4 linked regions of the Drosophila melanogaster genome follow. The protein of the gene in region 4 purifies or fractionates together with the protein of the main gene of each other region. This does not show direct contact. Each region holds a gene or a part of one and is shown on either strand. Other genes may lie near its edges.

Region 1 (6,220 bases), on a different chromosome or scaffold from region 4:
GACACACACACACGTTGAAATATTATATATGATATAGTATGTACTATTCAGCTGACGATCGAAATGCACGGCGTAACGTTCAGGTAACAAATGAAGAGAGTGATGCGCGAGCGTTGGGTTTTATATGCACGGGTTACCCAGACGGGGATTTCTTAAAAAAGTTGTTGGGTTAAAAAATGGCTTCAACGAAAACTAATTCAACATTAAATTGGAAATAGAGTCTCTCCATCTTTAGATTTTAACGATGTCCCTGTGTGTTTGCCTGCTTGTGTGTGTGTTTGCGTCTGCAGCAGAGAGCCTTCTGAATAGCGGTGATCAGTTCGCTGGAACTGGAAATTCATTACGGAGTTCTTTAGCTTTCTTCCAGTGGCGAGAATTTCGTAAACAACGCAAAAGGAAGCACTCGCTGCCGCAATACTTACATACGTGTATGTAACTGTCAATTTAGTTTGTTATTTAAAAAATATATATATTTATTTTTTTGATATATCTAGCACCTTTTTTGCTTATTATTTCTAACCTTTATATTGTGTTTTTTCCTATGTGTATGAGTGTGTAATTTTATGTTGGAATTTGAGCGTGTAACACTTATTTACAAAATAGAATTAAACGAACACATAACTTTGACTTGAAAGTCGTGGAAAATCCAGCCTAAAATGATCGTTTCGATCGATTAATGTCATTTACAAAGTTTGGTCACACTATTTGGTTGGTTTAATTCCAAAGATAAAAATACCAACGGTATTCTTTGGAGACCAGAATGTTTAATTTGTAGAATTTTAAAATATTTAAAAATATATTGATCATATTTTAAATAAACTTGTACCCTCCGCTTTTTAAAGAATATACATTTTAATATAAATAAAAGTATATTTTATTCTTTAAATTTAAATAAGCAAATTAATCCTTAACAATTCTGTTCCATAAAAAGCTCAAATAAAAATTTGTTATTTTACATGTAGCTCACAGAATGGGATAAACGTTACACATTATTTATATAATATATTTATCTTAAACCTACTTATCAATCTACAAACAGACTATTTCTTTGCCAGCTTCAGCTTTTCGGATCCAAAGATGACTCCAGTGTCGCCCAGTTTGCGCTTCATAGCAAAGGGATTAACCGAATTCAAAGGGGACCGGTGATCGGTGGCTTTACCCATGGGAACCTCGGATTCCGATTCGCCGAATATGTTTTCCTGGGTGTCCAGCGGAGAGGGTGTGATATCCGGAGTCGAGGGCCGGGATGCTGCCGATGCTGCTGCTGCTTTAAACATATTGGGTGAATTGACCAATCTCTTCAGGGTGCCCCGTTTGGCCGAGCTCAGCTCGATGGCCTTGGGTTTTGGGCCGCTTTGTGAGGCCGATGTGGGAGTCATTGGCAGAACAATGGTGGCCGCAATGCCGCTGGCACCCAACAAAGTCTGCTGCTTGCGTGCCTCCTGGACCGCCTCCAATTGAGGTAGCAGTTCGCACAGACGGTCGGACAGGTGGATGCGTCCACGTTTCGTGGCGTATTTCACGGCCAGTTGAAGCAGATCAGTGCAGGCAATCGATTCGATCAATTCCCTAGCTCGCGTCTCGCACTCGCTGCTGCAGGCCAATGCAAACAGCTTGATGGCCGTCTCCTTTTGCATCTTCTCTGCCCCATCCATTTGCATCAGACTGGACCGCAGCAGTGCATCCTCCAGCTCGGACTTTTCCACTTCGACGTCGCAGAGCGGGATCTGCATACGCAGTTCCTGGAGCATGGGACGCGGATTGGTCATGGGATAGGAGGTACCGCGGCACAGGACCGCCTGGACTATCTGACGTTTCTCGGATACAGCGACCACAAAGAAGTTGTGCGACACACTGGTGCTTTGCTTCATGGTGTCGCAGATGGGGAACCAGGCGTTGCTGCTCCGGCGATACAACTGCAGCAGACCCATGTTGTCGGCAATACTCGGCGATCCGGTGTCGCTGTACCCAAACCAGGTGAGCTGCCGGCCTGGAGTCAGCGGAACGGGCAGATATTCTTGTCGCAAACTCAATCCATTTATGTTCACCAACATCGCGGCGAGATGCTGCTGCGTCTGACTGGGCGCGGAACTGTGGTAAACAACCATTAGGCTGTGCTCGTGTCCAGCAATAGCCACCATTGGTCCTGGTATGGTTAGCACCTCACGCTGTGTACCCATCACGGTGAAGATACGCAGAAAACTGGAGCTGGTGGCCACAGCCACTAGAAATCGCGTGGCCACAACAGCCTCTGCACTCTCGCAATCCGGGAGGCTGAGTGACCACTCTTTGTTTCCGGCGGCGGCCAGAGCAATGACTACTAACTTGCTGGATTCGTTGGAGGCCAATGCCAAAGCTCCACTGCTCACACTGGCCAAATTGTGCTGATTGTAGTTACTAATGTGTAGAGCGTGGTGAATACTAGCGTCGTGGAACTCCACATCGATGGAGCTATCGCCTGAGGGCTCCACATGGGCGGTAACAATGCCCACATCATTCCATGCCATGTAGCGATGCTCTAGATCGGCCGGTGTGGCACTGGGCTGAAAGGCCGTCTGCTGCTTGAAGAGCTTGATTTGCGGGGCAACGGGTGCAGGTACAGTTCGGCTACTGCTGTCCAGGGATTGGTTGGAGGCGTCATCGTGATCTACGGGATCCGCAAAGTTCATCACCTTGCGCTTAAGCTGTTCCAGACTAACGCCATCGCCGTCGTCTGCTGCAGTGTCCACGTCATCGCCGGCCTCAAACTCATAGTCATCGCCCAACAGCTCGGCTTGGTCGTCCACCAATCCATCGCCGTTGCCTGTGTCGACTGCATCGCCAAGAAATACGGTTCCCAGCTGGCCAGTGGCATCGCAGAAGGCCACCTCCACCTCTCCGGACAGATTCCAGGCAAGGCATGTTATGGCATTGCAGTCGCTTGGCGGAATCTCCACTGTTACTGCCTTCCGTTTCTTTACATCGAAGATGCTCACCTCGCCCTTGGTTGTTCCGGCGGCCAGGCGCTCACCATTGGGCGAGAACTGGCAGCAGCTGTAGTTACTGGACACCGAGTCGTCGCGCAGCTTAAAGGCCACTTCCCAGTTGGCCGTGTTGAGGACCACAATCTCGTTGTCAACGGCATAGGCCAGAAGTTCACCGCTTTGTGGCTCGAAATGCGGAGTGCCATACAGGCTGGCGCTCTCGAAACTGTTGACCTTTGGCAAGCCCCCAATGGTCTTCAGCTCCTTGCCCTCCTCGAAGTTCCACACCTTCAGTTGGCCATCCCCGGCCACGGAAACCAGCAGCTTTCGCTCCGCAAACAAGTCCAGTGCCAGAATGGGACCAGTGTGCCCCTCCAGCACCGTTTCGTTGCCAGCTGTATCTCCCTTAAGCACCTTTATAGTGGTATCCTCGCTGCCGGCAGCAGTATAGCCACCGGATACCTTGAGGCACGTAGCCGGTGCCGTGAATCGCATGAGGATGCCATCGCTGTCCATCTCGGGAAAGGTGTAGGCATGGATCGTATTCCGATCCGTCGAGGCCAGCAAACGGGTTCCCGTGTGGGCTATGCACATGACGAACTCGCCCAGGCAACTTGAGCGTGGATCGTCGTCACTAATGCAGGTCCAGTGCCGGATGTCTCCATCTGTGCCGCACGTGATGATGAACTCGCCGCGCGGAGTGTAAAGGAGTCCCGTGTAGCCATTGGTGTGGGCATAGCGCAGGGCACTGCGCAAGAAGCTCATGATGTGATTTAATGCTTAATTTCAATTGATCTCTCGCGATGACCTCCCGTCACTTTTGGCGCCAAAACAAATAGGCACTACCTAACAGTGTAAGCCAACGGCCGAATGGGAATGTCTTGATGTCGCTCTTTTCCAGCACTGGCCAACAGCTGTTCGTTCAATACTCTTTCTTTTTAAATATTAAAAAAAATATATCACCACGTTCCCGTTAATAATTTAAATTCAATAATACGTGAAACATTGTATACATAATTTGTAAATAGTCACACATGACGTTTCAATTGTTTAAACAACATTGGTATTACTTTCATAAATAGAAAAATTTAAGAATCCACAAGATATAAGACATGTAGGGTATACATACTTCGACTTTCCATTTTAAAAATGTAATATTTTCATTTTCCCGCAGCCGGTTGCTTATTACAGCACTGCTCTGATCAAAAGTCGGAATATGTTAAGAAAATTAACAAAACTATCGACCTTAAAGGTCAAATGTGAACTCCGCGCCCTATCCTCACTCACCCAAACATCGCAACATATATTTGACCGCAATGCCAAGAGATTACAGAAGGAAAGGGCCGCACTCAGGTGAGATCTTCTCGCCAGGATTAGAGTATATATTCAATTAGTAAACAATATACGTATACAGCGAAGACGTTGGACTATACGATTACTTGAAGGAGGAGATCGGCTTCCGCCTGGCTGACAGAGTATTCGACATTAAGCGGGAGTTCAAGGCGGCGGCGGATATCGGATGCAGTCGCGGCTATCTGTCCAGACACATTCTGGCGGAGAGTGTGGAGCAGCTGACGCTCACGGACACCAGTGCTACGATGCTGGAGCAGGCACAGGGCACTCCGGGTCTGAAAATGGTGAAACTAGTTAAGGACGAAGAGCAGCTGGATGTGGGTAATTAATCTACTTAGACCAAAGTTGCAAGTCTAAATGAGAATCCCTTTCAGTTTGAGGACAATTCACTGGATCTGGTCATCTCTAGCCTAAGTCTGCACTGGGTGAATGATCTGCCGGGCTGCTTTGTCAGAATTAAGCAGAGTCTGAAACCGGATGGGGTCTTTATAGCCTCCATGTTTGGTGGAGACACCCTCTACGAGCTGCGCTCCTCGCTCCAATTGGCCGAGCTGGAGCGCAAAGGTGGCATATCTCCGCACATCTCGCCCTTCACTCAGATTAGGGATATTGGTTCCCTGCTTAATCGCGCCGGCTTCACCATGCTGACAATAGACACCGATGAACTGGTCATCGGCTATCCCAGCATGTTCGAACTGATGTGGGATCTCAAGGGTATGGCAGAGAACAATGCTGCATTCAATCGACCCGCTCATCTTAGTCGAGAAACGATGCTCGCGGCCAGTGCCATCTACCAGGAGCTGTATGCAAAGCCCAACGAGAAGGGGATACCTGCAACCTTCCAAATCATCTACTTTGTGGGCTGGAAACCCGGTCCCAATCAGCCACAGCCTCTGGAAAGAGGAACCGGTGAGGTGTCGCTCAAGGATCTAGGGTCGATTATCGAAAAGGGCGGCAAGCTGGACACCAAAGCGGGAGATTAGCTTAGCTTCAGTTGACAGTTTTATTTGGAGACGTTGTTGAACATAATTTAAATTAAAATATACATAATTCCTTTTGCTGAGAAACTTAAACTAGTGATTCATGTTTGTGTAAAGTTTAATCATGAAATTAATGGTAAATACTCAATTCATTTGTCAGTTTGCTCGGTTCGTGTACTGCTATGAGGGTATAACTATACATAAATCTAGCGTAATCGTACGATTCTGTTATCTATAGTTTTCAATTAATATTTGGTTGCCTTTCGCCTTTACATTCGTTTGCATTTCATGGACGTAACTTTTTAACGTTGCTTTGTATTTTGTTTGGTACGTATATACAAGTACAATTTACAACAATTTCTATAATATATATGCTTGAGTTGAATTCAATTTGCAATTAAATAGACTTCTAACCGCTTTGTAGTTGTATTAGATACGATTTGCTCTTGCTTAAATATTGTTCCATTAGCAGTTTTTATGTATTTTATGTAATTCTCGATTGCTTTTATCAATTGTTTAACTCGTAACTGTTGTAAATTTAATTTGGCGCATCTAAGTCACTACCAAGTCGTGCCCCAAGCTTCCCGCGGTGTATGTACAAAGTGTGTGTGTGTGTGGTCTCATTCTCTCGAAGCTTGGTGATTGCTATTGGCTGCACCCATGGAAGGCCTAGCTCTAGTGTTTGCAGCGGTGGCAGGGCTTGAAGACTTAAGGCTAATCAAAGGCAGACGACGGCTAGTACCAGGAACTAGGTGATCCCGCTCCGGTTGGCCGCCGCCTTTTGCTTTGCTAGTCATCCCAGCGACAGCGGAGATCTCGGCGGCACGGGCGGCGGTGTGGGCGTAGCTCTCGGTGAGGATGTGGGGCTAGCTTCCGTTGCTCCTGCTACTGCTAATCCCGCAGAGGTGGCTGTGGTGAGTGTTT
Region 2 (5,463 bases), on a different chromosome or scaffold from region 4:
CTGCCCCTGATCCGCCTCCTCCGTTTCGCTCTAGGCTGTTGGTGTTGTTGTAGCGCTGGTGCGATGGTGAATCCTCGTAGTTGTCGCGGTAGTTGCTGCTGTATCCGCTACTCACGCCTCCATCGTTGCCACCGCGCGAAGCCCCATACGACGACTTGCTGTTGGTTGAGCTTGCTGCAGATCCGTTGTAACCGGATGAAGAGTTGGAATTGCTGCTGTTGCCGTTCCCGTTGCCGCTGCCGTAACGTGGCTGTGTGCCGTTGCTCCCATTGCCGTTCTCGTAGTTGCGGGCGGAGCGATAATTGCTGCCACCGCTTCCAGAGCCGACTGCCCCAGACCCTCCTCCTCCCACGGAGTTTGAGTTTATTGATCGATTGTAGCTGCCATCGGAGTTTGAGTGATAGTTGCTGCGACTACCACGATGCGATCCGCCTTGCTGATCCTGCTGCTGGTATCTACCAGAAGAGGAACTGCCGTTGTAGCTGTCGGAGTTGCCGCCTAAGCCTTGACCCAAAATGTCACTATTCTTTGGATAGTAACGCGACGACGACGAGTCACCCTGGTAAGATCGTCGAGGTCTTGGGCTCACCTCACTGTCGTGTTGGCGAATTTTGACGGAATTCTTACTATAGCCAGTGGAAAAGTGTCCGGTCGGTCCACCAGATGATCGGCTGCCGTTCCTGCCGCCCTCGCTGTTGCCGCTTATGGCCGGAGATCCTCCGTTGCCGCCGGCGCTCTTATATCCTGAGCCGTTAGAGCCGCCCTTGCGGTAATTGCCGCCCAGCGAATTCGATCCTGACGATGGCGAGGAGCCCTTGTCGATCTTCACCAGATTCTTGAGGTTGTTAAACGTATCGGTCGCTGTGGTGATCGGCAGAAGATTGGGACTGGTGTTGAGCAGTGTTTTGCCGACCGACGGTGTCGGTGGGGTTTGGCCACCGCAGCTGACGCCGATAACGCCGCCGCCTCCGCCACCACCGCGATTGGTTGGCTGCTCGTAATTGCGCTCGATCTCGCTGGGATTGGCCGTTATTACCAGTCGTAAATCGCTGCCGCCGCCGATGCTCTTCGTATCACCGGTGCTGGTGCCTCCCTCAATGATGATCGCTTTACCGCCCCGAAACTGATCTATGATGACGCCTGCCTGGTGCCCGTTGGTGACTCCGGACCAACGTTGCGGACTGTCGTCGTAAGAGTGCAAAAGGGGAGCGGCGTCGTACGTTGATAGAGGAATGGTGGATGCTTTTCTTGATCGACTCGGGGGCGAAATGGGTGCGTGCTTGGGTGGCACGGAGTGGGCTACTCTTGGCGTCTTGGTTGGTTTCCCCGTTTTCTGGGGATCTGGATCCTAGTTAAGGGTCTTAGATCCTCCTCGTCTGCTCTGTGGTTCTGATGATCCTTGGGGACACTCGACGAAACGCACACAAATCTAACACACACACGCGTACGCACACAGAGACAAGTTATGGGTTATGGGTGCTGGCTTTTTATCCAACTCTGCTACTGTTCCTTCCGATTTCGGTTCTTCCTGGTTGGTTCCTTTAGGCTAGAAGTAACAAGTCCTGCGTGGTAACACCTGGGATTCGTCTCTCCGTTTCGTTACGTCACACTGGGTATGGCCTTGCGTTTAGGGAATCCTGGAGAGAAATGGGAGGAGGAAACAAACAAAAGCCGGAACCGTGGCAAATTAATAAAAATGAGAATCAGACGAATCAACAATTACGTACAATTGTGACAAAAATACAAAAGAAAAGTGATCCTAGTGGTGTGCGTGTGGGATTATTTAAATGGACGTTATTTGCTAATCTCGTCCGATTGTTTTTGTTTACACTCGATTTCACTGCGAGCAAGCGCCAGCACAATAACAATAACATCACCTGCCATCCAAACTGGAAAATATGCATTTAATGGAAATAACCTCGGATGAGCACCTTCAAGTTTATTCCACTTCCACTCTCTCCCGCCAATTGAAACGGCACTGCCGCATTCTACGGAATCGCATGTGTGCAAGTGTTGGTGGCATTGCCATTTAAGCATTAAGTGCTGGGAAGATTATAATTAATCACAGGTTTACACAATGCCAACCAGCTTTGTGCCGTTGCTTAGTTTTATTTTTGCAAAGTTACTTTCGCTTGATTGACTCATTTGTTGTAGCCTGCCGTTCTTTGTTCCAGCTTTCTTTGTTTGGCGCACTCTCTCCCACCACAAACTTAAACAACACCAACACACATGCACCGAAAAGAACTAGAAGCTGCGTCCGTGTGTCAGTGTCCTTTCTTTGTGTTGGGGTTTATGGCCTCAGCTTTGGGGATCTCCTCTCTTTCTTCCTCTCTCCCGCTTTCCATTCAGCTGGCCATCCCGCTCGCACGCGATGCTGGTCTTCTGCGCCACGGAATTAAAGTCTCTTGACCCCGGGAAATAGGCAGAGGCGCACAACGAGCAGGGGGTTGCAATTGCTGATTAGCTGAGTCACTACTCCATTCCGCTCAATTTGCTTGGTTTAATTGATTGGCCATAGGACGACGAAGTCGCAAACAACCCTGCGATTTGTCATTGTGCGAGTACACCACATACATACATACGAACTTTGGGCCTGCAATAATGTAGTCTTTCGTGCGGGGAAGGGATAAGCCAAAACTAAACACCCCCAATGCGAAAACCCACCCTCTGCTGCATTGAGGCGTCGACCCCGACCTGAGAAATGAGCCCCCCCTGCTTCCGCACAGACCCAGTTGTGGATGATTTTGACCTCAATTCGAGCGTTCGGCTCGGCTCTTGTGCACAAGTGTTTGTCGCTGTCTGCATGTTTAACTGGCCAAGTGGCACACCCACATTGCAAACAGTATTTATTTTACTAGTTTTTCGGGGGCTTCAAGAGCAAATATCTTGAGAAAACCCATGAAAACGCACTCTTCTTTTTCCCCCATCGATAGTGACGAAAGCACACACACATGCAAGCAGCACAATGCGTGTGTGTGGGAGATCAGAAAGCAGCTGGAAGGCACACGCCAAAAGTGAAGCTGTGGAAATGGAATGGAAGAAAAAAAAAACTCCATGAGAGGGCTGTCTTCCCGGGGAGGGGGCACTGTAGATAACTCAAGCAAAGGCAGCGGGCAACGTCAACACAGCATTTCAGATTTTCCGACGTGCCGACGCCATTTTGTGGCGCAAATAGGTGTACCTACACACACAGTCATACGCGTAAACTTTCTTTGTGTTTTTTTTTCTCTCGAAATGATTCATGCAAATTAACGTTTTGATTGACGAATTTCGACCCTGCTTGCTCTTGAAAATTATTACCGCGATGGAGCGACTATGGCATCTAGGGGAGCTCCTCACTTTTATTGATTTCACTACTTGATTTTTCGCCGTGAAGAAACGAGGACGTTCACACAAGCACACACACTTATACAGACACAATAGAATCGGTTTTCTCTGGCACATCGTGGAAAATTTATAGGCTAAAATGCGGAAAATCCACCTGCAAAGAAGTGTACTTTCCATATTCTCTCTAAAGACAGCAAAAAACCATTTGCAAAGTATACTCGTTAAATTATTTTTACTAACCTTTTCTTGAGTAATTTCGTATAGCAAATCACGCAAAGGTTCCACGAAATAGAGCTGGAACAAAAATCGATGTGCGTTTGGTTTTATCGGTGTAGCCAGAAGATAGTAGTATCGATTTTTCGCATGCAGCAATCGATAACCTGTTAACTTAACTAAAAATGTGCCAAGTAGCTATTTCACAATCCATGGTGTGGAACTTGGAAAAATATCGATGACTCGAAAAGCTATCGAACCGGCTCGACTACTCAACAGTGCTGCAAAAGTTTTATTTCGATTAGGTGTTGACAAATTTTGAACGACCGCAATATTTAAATCGTATTTCAAGCAGATCTTTTGTACAAAAACAGTTTCATTTATTAATAATTGATATACCTGCTTTTTATGTTGTTGCTTGTTAAACTATAACAAAAGTAAACTAATTTAAACTATTATTACTAATATTATTATTATTCGTAGATGACCAAACTGTAATTTTAAATTAGTGAGCGAATATTGTATATTAATATTGTATCCTTATTGATTCGAAAGATTTTGCTTTATAGTTGCTAAGTGCATTGAGTATATTAAAAAAACAGTATCTAAGCGCAATACAACATTTTTACCTCTGATGTGCAATGCTCGTTCATATCTAGAACTGGATCTTGTGAGTATAAATTTGTTAATTAAAACTAATTACTAAGCCCACAAACGAGGACATCATTTTGCTACCTTCATTTTCAAATTGTTTTCGTCAGCGTTTACAGAGGGTATAATTTTATTTAATTGAAATGACCGATCGTTAGCAACCAGTGACAGATATAGTTTAAATATTGCGGCACACATCAACATTGTAGTCCGTGCCCTAGGCCGCACTATCGCCTCGTTTGATATATGTATTTCCCTGGCATTATCAACGCAGTCATCTACAACCCTTTTCCCTCCCCAACTCCTTGCTGGTTTTCCACACACAAATATACACACACGCACACTCACACACTGTCGCACTCGCAGGACAACCATGAAGAAGTGGGAAACCGAACAGAAGAACAATTTAATTAGTGATGACATGTTGCCATTTAATTTTCTTGTAAAAAGCGTAATTAAAAATGTTCGGCTCGCAGCTGGAGCTGCTGGAAGCGTCAAGGTGGAAGGATAAGGACACGAAGGCAAAGGCGAAGCTAAAGGATTCGTAGGTAAACAAGCCCGCAACGATCATATATCGGTAGGTTGGCTATAAATCATATTGCGACTGACTCCGGCGCATATTAGGGCCTCCTAAACGATGAGATAATCTATGGTCGCAGCGACAACAAAATGCGGCCACCGGCAATAAATTTGGAAAATACAAAACATTCTGACAATTTTCCGTGGCCCGTATGTGTGCGTGTGTGTGTGTGTGTGTGTGTGTGTGTAGTAAGTTTGTGAGACTATCCTGGCTGGCTGCACACATCGAGGACAAAGGGCACAGGACACAGTAGTCACGTCAACACTTTCAACTCTTTGGGCTGCCTTTTGTTTCGCCCTTCGTCGTATCCTTTCGGCAATAAAAATTCCGTTTGCTATTTATCTTGATTGTCCCCAAGTCCCCAAGTCGCCATTGCCATCGCCATCGCCCTATCGCTATCGCCATAGCTATATAGTCCCGTAGTCGGGTTTATGTGCAGGACCTAGTCCAAAGTCCGGACACTTGAATGTTGGTCGCCGTCGCGATGCCTGGACATTTTTTGCTTAATGAAATGTACATAAAACTAAATGAAATTAAGTTTGTGGCGTGCTCGTGCCAAGTCCGATGGCCCACTCCACATTGTAGTCTAAGCCGTGGCTGCGTGTTTATTACCGCGTCGCGCATAAAATGCAAAGAGCCTTTCCCGCGCTCAAAATGGCCGACAGCGAACCCTTTTCCCGGAAATCGCAATC
Region 3 (6,509 bases), on a different chromosome or scaffold from region 4:
GAAGAGTAGGGTAGTCGGGTGGTCGGGGTGTGGCTGTGGCTGTGAGTGTATATTGTTAATAATACCCTTTTAAATTACGTTGCTTCATAGCCAAAATTCGTTTTCCACCGTAGAATAATTTCGCTTCTTAGTTTTTATTGCTATTGTGTATATGGCAAGAATCGATTACCTTAATGATAATATTATGATTATGATTACGTATTATAAAGCGCAGATTTACAACTGCAGATGCAAATAATTGTTTCGCGTCGTGTGAACCTGAGAGAGCGTTTATGAGAACAGAGCTTTATATTGATTAAATTGTAATTTGTTTAAATGAAATTTGGATAAGATGGATATGTTAATATTGGCCCACCACTTGAGTTGAGTTTGCCGCCTATTATGTTTACATTTGTGGTTTTGTTTCGTCTCGTCCAACTTGTTTTGTTTAATTGTACTTGAACGGGTATGTACCTAAATTCTATTATCACGTTCTGATTGTTTCCCTTTTACATTTGATTTGATTCATTTGTCGTGCAGTAGCATTAGCGATATTGGCTTCCAATTCCAAATTCGAAATTCCTCATTTGCCAGGAACCTGCCACATTTGCCGCACATAGCGTTTAAGAGTCATCTGCCGAACTCATCGAGCAGCAACTCACACCCACGAAACAGCAACTGCAACATGAACACTGCAACACAACAACACTCACACACGTGAAATCATTAAGCGAACATATATTTTAATTATAGACTGATTTATTAGTAATTGAAATTAATCTACAAATATGTATGTGTAATGGTACCGTATGTATTTCAATAAAATTTATCGGTTTAAGCATAAATCTGAATAAACGCAGGAATAATAATAAAAATAGTTAAAACCATCTATGTGCCACATGTTATTGCTTCACGGAACTCTGGGAGCTTTGCAGCCAGAAAATCTAAAATTGATAAAAACCAAATTGATCACTTTCAGTATATGCGCGTAATTCACTTTATTTGTTCATTTTGTGACTGGACTGGAGTTGGGTTCACTCCGAAAAACAATAAAATATTTAATACTTTATAATAACACTAGAGTAGTTCTATGATTGGACGATGCTTGGATAGTTTCTAACAACTGCTCTTGGCAGATACCCTCCGGGTACCGACTATTTGGAGCAGGAAACATTTCCATTTGCGAGGGGTTGCGAATTCATTTACGGGATTATTTATACAGATTAACTTTTCTTTAATCAAACAAATCACTTCAATGCGATTCAACTCCAAAAACCGAAGTGGGTGAGTAATAAACTTAAATTTAAGTTATGGAAACTAAGTAACTATGAACTAAATGGGTAATTGACTTTGAGAATTCCACGCTGAGTCATTTTTAGATTTTCGACTTCTTGCTGCTGTGTCCCTCAATGCCGAGATTGCAGCGGGAGGCTACGTCCTGGGCTGAGGTGACCGTGCTGGGCACTGCACCGCCGCCCAGAGCCGAAATGTTGCCATTGCTGGGTCGCTTTCGCGTGGGCGAGTGAACCGGTGACTTCTGCTTGAGGCACTCCACATCGTTGAACACAACTTGGGCACCACCGCCACAAGTGGGAATTACATTGCCCTTATACAGCTTCGTCTCCACATCGCCATCCGTATCCGCATCCTGCGAGACGAGACAGTACTTCGTAGTTCCGTGAGCAGTCAACTCCTTCAAGTCGGTTAGTTTCGTTACGGATTTGCGATTCTTCAGATACGGCTGCATAATAGTGCCAAGCGGAACGGGATTAGCTGCCCGATGCTCCAGCCACTTGTCGCCTGCGGATCGAGAGCGTCTATGCCGATTGTTGGCCGCTGCTGCACCCTGTTGGGATATAAAATTATCAATAGATATTGCAATATTCTAGGATTAATCATACACTTACATGACGTGGCGTTGCATATATATCTGTTCGTGTAGCTGGCACCGAGGACTCCTCCGTGCGCGCCGTATATGCACCGCGATCTTTCTCATTAAGTATGTTTTCCGAGCTCTGTGACCGCGGCAAACTGGGCAGATCTTCGGACTGCAGAATGTTGGAGACCAATCGCAACTTCTCGTCCTTGATGCGCATGCGTTCCTGCAATTTCACTCGCTGTTCACGCAGCTTTAGTTCAAACTCTCGCTTATTTTTGTCCGACTCAACGGCCAGCTTGGAGCTGAACTTCTTCTTTTGCTTTTCCTTCTCGTGCTCCTTTTGGGTGAGCATATTCTCCTTCTCGTTCAGCTTGAAAGTCAGCTCTTCAATCTGCCGTTCTTGCTTGCTTAGCGTATTGTTAAGCACGTCAATGGAGCTCTCGTGGATGCGAACCTTCTTCTCGAGTGCCGCACTGCGATCGCGCTCCTGCTTGTAAACAGCCTTTAAGGAGGCGAGCTCCGTGCGCAGCTGAAGATTGTCGCGGTCAAGGTTCATCAGCATCTGCCGGAAGCTGTCACCTGAAAGTTGTGGAATTAGTATTTCAATGTTAAGATTAAGAAAGTGACGTCTTACATTTAATGTCCAAGTTGGCACGCAGCTTCTTTCGCTTTTCTATGCGCTGCTCCAGATAATGCATTAGCTCGCGGATTTTGATCTGTGCCTCGGGACTGTCCATTTCGTAGGCGGGAAAATCGGGTCCCAAACTGTACACCAAACCCACGTCCACCTCCAAATCCTTGGCCTCAGGAATGCCCAGCTCGTTTAGATTATTAACGGCAATCTTGAACAGCTTGTTGGCCTTGCGACGGCCGGGAGTCAGACCCAAATCTTGCTTCATAGGAGTCGCCCGAGCAATTTGCACCTCCTGGGTCATCTCGGCGAACTTCATCACTTGCTAAACGGGATAAATAAATTTTAGGGACCAGAGTACATTGTTGTCAGAAAAATAGTTTACCATATTCTCATCATAGTCCTCAATTCTTGGGTTGATGCACACAATCATGGACACCTGGCCTTCGCCATCGAAGTAGTTTTTAAACATGTGTGTGATCTTGGAGTCTCGATAGGGGACCTTCTTGGGTGCCAATCCATTGCTAGCCGCGAGTTGGTTCTCGCGCAGATATTCCAGGCAAGTGCGCAGCGTCATCAGCGAATTATTGATGTTGCCCGCCTCACGGAGTCGCACACCGGTGTTCTTGGTCCTTGAGGATCGCTCACTGCCCGCCAGATCCACCAGGGACAGTTGACTCACTGTGATGTTTTGCCGGTCCTGAACCACATTCTCACCCTGGCTATCAGTGGGCGCCTGCACCAAGCGTATATTGAACACCGAGTGACTCCTACTGGATTCTGCATTGAGAACAGTGTGTCCCATTCGTTTGCGCTTCTGGCCCATTTGAAAGACCTCGAGGGCGTCCTCCACGGTCTTGACCTCCACCTCTGTGACGCCGTGGACGAACATGTGTCGATTGGCATCTTCACGAATGATTTTGCTCTGCAAAGTCCTGTCGGGTCAAGAATACAGTTAGATTTCTTTAAATGTAATGCTTAATAAATACTTACTTCTGTATACCCGAGTCCTCAAGGAGGTCGTAGACGCTGTTATTGTAAATTTCAATATAGGTGACAAACACCGAGTACATGTTGTCCTCATCCAAACCCAGCAGCGGAATTGGCTCCACGGAGGCCTGGGATGCAATTTCCGGATCCGAGTCCTTGTGCCTGAAGGCAAATCGTCCTGAGCCAGCAAAACGCTGGTTCATCTCGTGTTGGCGCTCCAAAAGCGCATCCTCTTCGGACAGGATCTCGAAGCCATTAAGCTTGTCCGGCTTGAAGACGAACTTCTTGGCCTGGTAATCTGAAATGGTGCGAAAGAGCACGTCCAGGCAGCGCGGCATGATGCCGCGGTGTCGCAGGTTGCCGGTCATGGTGTACGTTTTTCCACTTCCAGTCACGCCGTAGGTGAAAAGCAGACTGTTTCGGCCTTTCAGTAGGTTCTCCACCAACGGCTGGGCCACAGCTGCGTACACATCCTGCTGCGTGGCATCCGGCTGGAAAACGTGCTTGAATATGTACTGAACCTCGCGCTGGGCGCCGTTGTGTGGCTTGTGATGCTGCAGCAGCTGATCCTGCGGATTCAGTGCGATCGTCGTGGAGTTCTTGACCCTTAGGGAGGTGAGATCTGCGTCGGATTGTAGTGGCCGCACTCGACAGAACACATTCACTGGATCCCTGGCCTTGTCGGAGGTGTCTCGTCGCTGTTTCTCCACCGTTTGATGCACCCGCGGAGTTTTCGGGACGACACGCATCGGCGTCCTGGGTCTGCAAATGGGTATTCTCATTGATGGAGTTGTTCTTTCGGGAACTGTCATATCACTTACACTGCCTTCATGTTGTCAGCTCGTTTTTGCAACTAATTTGATATACGGGAGTTGGGTTTCTTCTTGTTTTGTTGCTGGAATCGATCTCTCTTTTAGTTCGTTACCTTCAAATTTACAGCGCCAAGCGACGCCACGCTTGGTTTTAGAGTGACCGAACTTTAGAAAGCGGTTAATGCTGCAAATACCATCCCCTGCTCCAATATATACTTGATACATACTGAAACCGAGGCTATGTACAGTGCGTGCCATTTGAATAGGTTAAAATATTTAGATATACTAGATTTTAAACTAATTTAATACTTTTATTTATGATCTCACATACCAAATTAAAAGTACAATGTTTATAAATTAGTATGATATTAAGGTATGGAATGGTTATGATGATGCCAAATATTCTTTTAAAATTAATTAAAGATCATTTGAGGTCCCTATTGCTTTTTATTAAACTTTAGCACTGAGAAAATTTTCCGCATTAGTGCCGGTCCGTTCCAGTAGCCGTTCATCATCAGCTTCCAGTAGAGCACCGGCATCAGCTCCTTCTTCATAAAGAACATGGAGTACCTCTCCTTGGACTGGTCCAATGGAAAGGTCTCCACGGGGGTGAGGTTGTAATCAAACTCAGCCAGGATGCAGGAGCTGTAGCCGGTGACGATGGGGCAGGACGAGTATCCATCGTAGATATCCGTTGGGGCTTTGCCCTCGATCGCCGCCATTACGTTTTTGAACACAACCGGTGATTGGGCGGCTGGAGGTGAAAAATCAATTGAATATTCTGATCAGGATTCCCAACCCATTTACCTGCCGCCGCGGCCGTCTTCGAGTTGGGACTGGACGCCGAATCGCCGATGGCGAACACGTTGCTGTACTTGTTGTGCTGCAGCGTCAACTGGTCGACGTCCACAAAGCCAGTGGGGGTTACCAGTTTCTTGCAGTTGGCCACCACATCCGGAGTGCTCATCGGCGGAGTCACATGAAGCATGGAGTACTGAGAAAGATATAATACTTATATAAGTTTAATTTCATGGCCTTCAATTCTCCTATTTCTGCAATACTATACGACTTTAAAATTGATCTTAGTTAACCTACTCTTCATATTTCTCGCTTTAAGTAGAAAGATATAGTTCTAGGATCTAGATCTAGATCTATATAGTATCTAGAATACCCAATTAATTGACCAGCACTTACCGTTTCCTCATAGTGAACTCCTGGTTTGGCGAGATCCTCGAACACGGCTATATTATCTTTATGTCTCACTTCAACGAGATTTCTTTGAACATTAAGCGTGATATTTCTCCTCTTGATCAGTTTCATCAGGGCCTCTGCGTAATGCTTAACACCAAAAATCACGGGAAGCGATGTATTGTAGATGATATTGACGTTGTCGCGACGACCCATCTGAAAAGGGTTTCAAATTGAAGTTGTTTGCCAGATATTCTATCTAAATGATGCACACCTTCCTAAAGTAGTGCTCAGATATATAGGCGATTTTCTGCGGTGCACCTGCACACTTAATGGGACAATTGGGAAACGTGAATATAGCATTTCCTTTGTTGGTCCTGCGCAGACATTCGTACACATGATCCACGTACTTGGGCGAGTAGATGGAGCAAACATTACTGTCGGGGGTCTCCAGGGCCTCCACCAGGCCAGGTATCTATGGATATGTGGATATGGATATTAGCAACTATTAAACGTACTGATACCCTACGTACCTTTCCATAATTGAGCTGCAGTCCGGTGGCGATGATCAGGAAGTCGTACTTGATGGTCTTGCCACCAGAAGTGCTAACCGTATTATTATCCGGATCGAACTCCAGCGCCTTCTCCTTCACCCATTTGGCCTTTGTGGGCAGCACATCGGCCATTTGGCGGTGGCTCTGATCCAATCTCTTCATACCACCTCCTATTAGGGTGAACATGGGTTGGTAGTAATGTTTCTATGGGGAATTATCGCGCTATGTCATAATGGATTATTTACTGCCTTTGGGCTTACTCACATCTTCCGGTTCCAGGACGACCACCTTGTCGCTGCCCAAACGTGAGGACAACTTGGCGGCCATGGCACACCCACCGGTGCCACCGCCCACAACCAGCACTTGGCATCTGGAAAAAATAGGATTTACTTAATTGCTGGAATATACAATGACAGACACCTCAAGGGAGATTAGTACAGTCGCATGACCACACCCACCATCAGTGCCATCTAACC
Region 4 (6,154 bases):
GCAATTGGAATTGTTATTCGCCAGTCGCTTTGCTTCAACAATTTCACTGCATTTGTAATTATCCTTTTTTTTATCGTGGCAATCGGATGCTGCGGCGCGGGTGAAAAAAGTTTTAAACTTTTACGCTGCGTGTTGCTTAAATAGATTTTCGGGCGAAAGCTCGTCCTGCCAAATTCGCTCTCTTCGCGGAAAATCTCTCTCACTGTTAAGCTAACATGTGTCCTAACCGGTTAAGCGAATTCTGTTACGGAATTTGGTTCGAGTCTGGGCTGCAGACTGTTGCATTTAATTTAAAAAAAACCTGATATAAAAAACGAAACAAATAAAATGACTTTGCCATCTCATAAAAACTATTATTCCAATTGATTAACAATACACTCTTTCAATTAAATTGCTCACGTCAGATATATAAATAATTTTATCTTAAGAAGGAGTACAGTTTTAAAGCCATTGTGCCCTGACTAAGCGCTTGAGCATTGGTTGAAAACTTGGCTAGTACCTGGATGTTCAAAAACAGAACTTTTAAAATCGAACATTTCTTTAGAATTTGTTTCTCTGTTAAATTGAAATGTTCATAAGAAGAATAAACCATAGTCTTCTGCAAAAACGTTTATGCTTTTAGATAATAATTTCCAAATTTGTTTTTTATATTTTTAATTATATATCCTTCTTTATTTACCAGTAAAAGCGCTATAAAAACTTATTTGTTAGTAAAACCGCCTCATCATTTTGTTACGCATCATTTCATATTGAATGAAAATTAAATGCAAAAAAAATCGGTCATGTCGACAGAATCCACCGAATCACAATATCATCCTTTTGCCTGTCACCTGTGCACCTTGGGTCACTCCACTGCTGCTCCTTGGCCCACTGACCCGGCTGTCAGTCAGCGAGATGACTCCAGCTGAAATTGCCCTGAAATCGCGTCCAAAAATCAATTTTCACAATTTGGAGCAACCATGTTCGTCGGCCTGGCAGAGATGGGCTGATAACTAAAGTGCAGGGCAGGAGTGCACAGGCAACTCGAAAAAAGCTTAAACACAAAGCTACATCAGTGATCCATCGCCTCGGGCGGCAGGACGATGTTGCAGCCCAGGAGACCGCGTCCACTCCACGTTTTCGGCACCAGGATGAGGTCCAACTGCTGCTCGCCGCGCTTCACTTTCAGCTGGACATTCTGGCTCTGCATGTTGCGCACCAGCTCGCCAATCTGGGCGAGATCTCCCTTGAAGTTGCCGCTATTGATGGAGCCAAAGCGGAGGATGGCATCGCCGGCACAGAGACCCTTAAATGGTAAAGATGGCCCATCTCAATGCTGTGATCTTCGCTTGTTTACTACATTCACTCACAGCTCTTTCGGCGGGCGAATCGGGACTGACCAGATTGACCACCACGATGGCGCGTGCAGGAGCAAGATCCGTGATATTAGCGCCACCGGGTGAACGGTCGCTGTCCAGGTCCAAAGCGGAGGCGCGGTTCACCAGCTCCGGATCTGTGGTGGCAATCTCGCTGTGATATTGGTTGAGCAGCGTCTGGATCTGGTTCATCAGCTCCTTGTGGTCGTTCTGCAGGCAGATGATCGTCTGTCGCGCCAGGCGCACCTGGTAAACGTCGATGTCGTTGCGCGGAAAACCCTCGGCGTCCACCAGTGGTCCACTCATGCCCACATTGTCGTTCTGGAAGGAAGATATCATTATCAATGCTATACAGCATAAACAAAAGAATGTACTCAAAATACAATTGTGTATATACCCTACACCAAAGCATAGGATAATGCTGTAATGCTTGCCCAAGTGGACATACCCTAACCAACAGTAGGGTATTGAATATATCAACATTTGGCTTGGCGGTCCGTCCAAGTTGAAGAACCTGCGATCATGAATATCCACGGTGGTGCGTCACCAACAGCTTGCCACAGTGTGCATACCCTATCCCGGATGCAGGGTATCCCCGGATGAGCAAGCGAATTTACTTACGGCGGCCAGGATCTGTCCGTTTCTGTTGATCTGCGCCTCCAGCTGCTTTTTAGCGTTAATCAGACGCTCCAGGCGCTCCTTGGTCGTCGTCCCAGCGGCCATGACTTCCACTTCGATTCGAGTTATTCCAGCGTTCGTCCCGAAAAATACAAATTTATTATTTTTCGTTAATGTTTTTTTTTTTCAGCAGCGACAGTAGCAACAACAACCAGTGCTCGTGCAGCCCTGGTTGCCCGCGACCAGTGTGACCGTATTGCGGCGAACTTACTTTGGCCAAAAACTAATTGTTAAACAATTTTTCGGAAGGGGAAAAGAACAAATTGAACGGCGAGAGTAAACACAGGAATTCACAAATTTCTATGAGAAACAGATCGCACGACGGTGAAACGAAAGGGGGGAACGCCTTTCCAGCGGACATCGCAGAATAGACGACGGGCGACGAGGGACCTCGAAAAATCGCACGGCAATCAATTCGAGTGTGTGCGAATTGATTACAAAAATAAAGGTATTTCGAGAGGTGAGCGATAAAAGCGCGTGTGTGCCTGGTGAGGATTAGGTGTAGCCATGAACTAACCAAACGTTTTGCAGCCACAGGCAACACAGGGACCACACCGTCCACTCCCATCCGCCGGAGTGGGGCTGCCACCTGCGATATGTGATCATTGGGGCTCCGCGGAGGTTTATGCAATGTTCTAGCTCTCGGCCAGTCGGAGGTAAAGCAGCCGGTGGAGCAGAAGCAGGAGGGGCAGGAGCAACAGGCCAGATGACTGTGACCACCATGGAGGCACAGGTCAAGGCAGCACACCATCATCATCTACATCATCCCACGGGCGGAGGGGCCCAGCACAAGGTGGAGGAGGAGGAGCCGGATCCTGTTGAGGACGAGATGACCGTACTGCTGGCCAATAAGAACTTTCACTATGACGTCGCCTCCGATCTGGACGACGACGCTTTTGTGGAGCTCAAAGAAGACACCGCCCAAGCGGATGATGCGGGCGCGGGCGTTGGCTTCTACAATCCGGATGAACTGCTGCTCGATGACCAGCCACATCCGCAAGTCACGTGGCTGGACGACGACGAGATCGAGACGCTCGATCGCGTGACGCTGGACATGGGTAATATGTTCTTCAATCGCGTCGACAGCCAGGACATCATCTATCAGCAGAAAAAGAAGAGCATTAAGATGGTGGGCAAGTACATAATGGGCGATGTTCTCGGCGAGGGATCGTACGGCAAGGTGAAGGAGGCCATGAACTCGGAGAACCTGTGCCGCCTGGCCGTCAAGATCCTGACTAAGCGGAAGTTGCGCCGGATTCCCAACGGCGAACAGAACGTAACGCGCGAGATCGCCTTGCTGAAGCAGCTGAAGCATCGACATGTCGTGGAGCTGGTCGATGTTTTGTACAACGAGGAGAAGCAGAAAATGTACTTGGTCATGGAGTACTGTGTCGGCGGGCTGCAGGAGATGATTGACTATCAGCCAGACAAGCGGATGCCGCTGTTTCAGGCGCACGGTTACTTCAAACAGCTAGTCGACGGCCTGGAGTACTTGCACAGCTGCCGGGTCATCCACAAGGATATCAAGCCAGGCAACCTGCTGCTCTCCCTGGATCAAACGCTGAAGATATCCGACTTCGGTGTGGCGGAGCAACTGGATCTGTTCGCACCTGACGACACATGCACGACGGGCCAAGGTTCTCCGGCCTTCCAGCCACCGGAGATTGCCAACGGACACGAGACGTTCGCCGGCTTCAAGGTGGACATCTGGTCCAGCGGAGTGACTCTGTAAGCCTTCCTTGTATAATATCATGTATTAAATGTATATACTGTACTAATCTAACGGATTTGCAGCTACAATTTGGCCACTGGACAGTATCCCTTCGAGGGCGACAATATCTACCGACTGCTGGAGAACATCGGGCGAGGTCAGTGGGAGGCGCCCGCGTGGCTATACGAAATGGACGCGGACTTTGCCAACCTGATTCTCGGCATGCTTCAGGCTGATCCCAGTAAACGCCTCTCTCTGCAGGAAATACGCCACGACACGTAAGTAGGAATATTCCTTGATTGCACTTCATGATAACTGATTGTTATAATCTGCTTTTAGTTGGTTCCGATCCGCACCGGTTAAGACCGGCCCACCGATACCCATTCCCCCCCTGAAGGGTGACAAATACCGCAACTCCACGGTGATACCTTACTTGGAAGCTTACCACTACGGCACCCAGGAGGAGGATGTCTACTTTACAGAACACGACGTAAATCGTACGTACCAACATCAATCTAATGCCGAGTGAACTACTTTCATGGTTACCTTTACAGAGGAGCTCGCCCGCCAAGCGGCAGCTGCTGCCTCCGAAATTCGGGCCAAACAGTCGGCGGCAGCCCTAGCCGCCTGCCACACCTACGAACCGCCCTCCACAAGTGCCGCAGCCGCCAGCAATTCGCTGGGCAACGGTAGCAGAGAGGAGGCGCCCGTCAAGAAGAAGGGATCGGCACTGAAGAGGCGCGCCAAGAAGCTGACGTCCTGCATCTCCGTGCGCAAGCTGAGCCACTGCCGAACTTCGTAGGCGCCTTAGATGCCTCCACTAAACATAGATGCTAAGATTTATCGAAAGGAATAACTTTGTTAACAAATTGTGAGCAACTTTTTGGTTTTGTTTTCCCGTTTTTATTCTGTTGTCCTACATTCGCCAAGTATTTGTAACCATAGAATCATGTAGGAAATTCAGGCGCAACCTCGTACCGCCCGAGCAGCAGGAGCAGCAGCGGTCGCATCAACAGCAGCAACAGCCCGCATCAGCGGAGTTGGCTGTGGAATTGGGGAGCTATGGGAGCGACACGAAAGCTATATATCCATGTGACAATACTGTGTATTATATGAAACAAATGAATGCGTAAATTAGTCGTTAATATATTATGATGTACTGAAGGCAGCCGAGGATTGCCGGAGGAGACGGTGCCCATTGGTGCGTCGCACACATAAAGAAATATGTTCAAGTGAAATTGTTTGTTGGCTTCGTTATATTCTAAACTACACACGACGAATGATGCGATTTTCAGGCGCCGTCGGTACAATAACTGCTGGACAGTATTTGCAAGGCCTAGGTTGAGATTTTAATTTTTACAAACCAATGAAACGAAAATAAAAGAACCCATTGAATATCAAAATACAAACACTGCATTTAGTTCGCACATTTCGCACATTCCAAATTCCACACTCAACACTCGCAGACGCTCCATTATTCCATGCACACACGCTCATGCTCACACTACAACATTAGGCTAGCTAACTACGTTTGCTTAATCTATTTCAACGATCTGCAGCCGGGCCGTCGGATCTGGCTCTGAGTCGCCCTCCATCAGCTCGCCCATGATGAACATCTGATGGTAGTGGGGGCCCAGGGTGGACAGCTTACGCTGCATTAGGTGGCGCAACGGGTCCACATATTGCGGCGGCACCTTGGCCAGCTGTGTATTCGTGTTGCGCCAGTGCAGCCCGTTGTTGTCCACGTGAAACAGCGCCGGCGAGGGCACGTGATCTTTAAGATAGTTCCAGATGCACTCGCGCAGCAGCAGGGCAATCTGGAAATGTCATACATTAGTTGGTGCTACTACACAGTTTGGGCAAATAATGGATCTACCTCTGCCGATTCAAAGTGCTCGATGATGAGATGCAGATTGGTGAGTGGAGGTGGAATTAGTTGGCTCATAGCCAGCAGTTGCAGCATCTTCTTGGTGCACAGCATCAGCTCATCGTTCGCAGCAGTGGGCTGGAATCGATTGACTGCAAACGTATAATATGATTAGGCACCTTTATAGAAAATAAGCAAGTAAAGTGACAAGCTCACCATTCTTGCCCCGCCAGTGATGCAAGCAGGTGGCGCACAGTGCGCGCAGTAGCACGGAGGAATAGCAAAGCGCCGGCCTATGACCGGCGATCAGTCCCAAAACAGCCCACAGCACTGGGGAGTTGATGAACGCTCTCCTGATTAGCATGTCCCGCTCCATTGTGACCCTGGTGAACTCCTCATCCGGAAAGGGCAGGCCGTTGTACATGACATCCGTGGAGACCAGCTCGACCAGCAGCAGCGAGACCAGCGAGTAGCCCTCCACGTTGTTGGGCTTCTCCAGATCGGCGCAGCATGCATTCAATGCCTTAAGATACAGCGCCTGCT

What was found.
Region 1: the proteins of Lkb1 (region 4) and Ctf4 purify together in Drosophila melanogaster (affinity purification with mass spectrometry, with the first as the bait; one large-scale study listed by BioGRID). This does not show direct contact.
Region 2: the proteins of Lkb1 (region 4) and NAT1 purify together in Drosophila melanogaster (affinity purification with mass spectrometry, with the first as the bait; one large-scale study listed by BioGRID). This does not show direct contact.
Region 3: the proteins of Lkb1 (region 4) and pav purify together in Drosophila melanogaster (affinity purification with mass spectrometry, with the first as the bait; one large-scale study listed by BioGRID). This does not show direct contact.

The regions. Positions count from the first base shown.
Region 1 is NT_033778.4:13,979,508-13,985,727, forward strand, and holds Ctf4 (chromosome transmission fidelity 4), read right to left. Parts: upstream 3,811-6,220; 5' UTR 3,729-3,810; coding exon 1,041-3,728; 3' UTR 855-1,040; downstream 1-854. Other genes in the region: CG8067 (uncharacterized protein), read left to right, coding at 4,180-4,316, 4,378-4,633, 4,691-5,299.
Region 2 is NT_033778.4:12,914,169-12,919,631, reverse strand, and holds the start of NAT1 (NAT1), read right to left. Parts: upstream 3,639-5,463; 5' UTR 3,568-3,638; intron 1,775-3,567; exon of another isoform or gene 1,728-1,774; intron 1,638-1,727; 5' UTR 1,235-1,637; coding exon of another isoform or gene 1-1,234.
Region 3 is NT_037436.4:4,240,680-4,247,188, reverse strand, and holds pav (pavarotti), read right to left. Parts: upstream 4,456-6,509; 5' UTR 4,312-4,455; coding exon 4,301-4,311; intron 4,242-4,300; coding exon 3,483-4,241; intron 3,425-3,482; coding exon 2,875-3,424; intron 2,815-2,874; coding exon 2,493-2,814; intron 2,438-2,492; coding exon 1,887-2,437; intron 1,826-1,886; coding exon 1,355-1,825; 3' UTR 956-1,354; downstream 1-955. Other genes in the region: Sqor (sulfide quinone oxidoreductase), read right to left, coding at 4,729-5,045, 5,099-5,285, 5,486-5,695, 5,754-5,954, 6,013-6,237, 6,298-6,403.
Region 4 is NT_033777.3:13,674,452-13,680,605, forward strand, and holds Lkb1 (Lkb1 kinase), read left to right. Parts: upstream 1-2,097; 5' UTR 2,098-2,493; intron 2,494-2,564; 5' UTR 2,565-2,658; coding exon 2,659-3,761; intron 3,762-3,827; coding exon 3,828-4,022; intron 4,023-4,083; coding exon 4,084-4,241; intron 4,242-4,298; coding exon 4,299-4,546; 3' UTR 4,547-4,615; exon of another isoform or gene 4,616-4,689; 3' UTR 4,690-4,979; downstream 4,980-6,154. Other genes in the region: CG9588 (uncharacterized protein), read right to left, coding at 1,052-1,285, 1,350-1,676, 1,977-2,078; omd (oocyte maintenance defects), read right to left, coding at 5,280-5,561, 5,621-5,763, 5,828-6,154.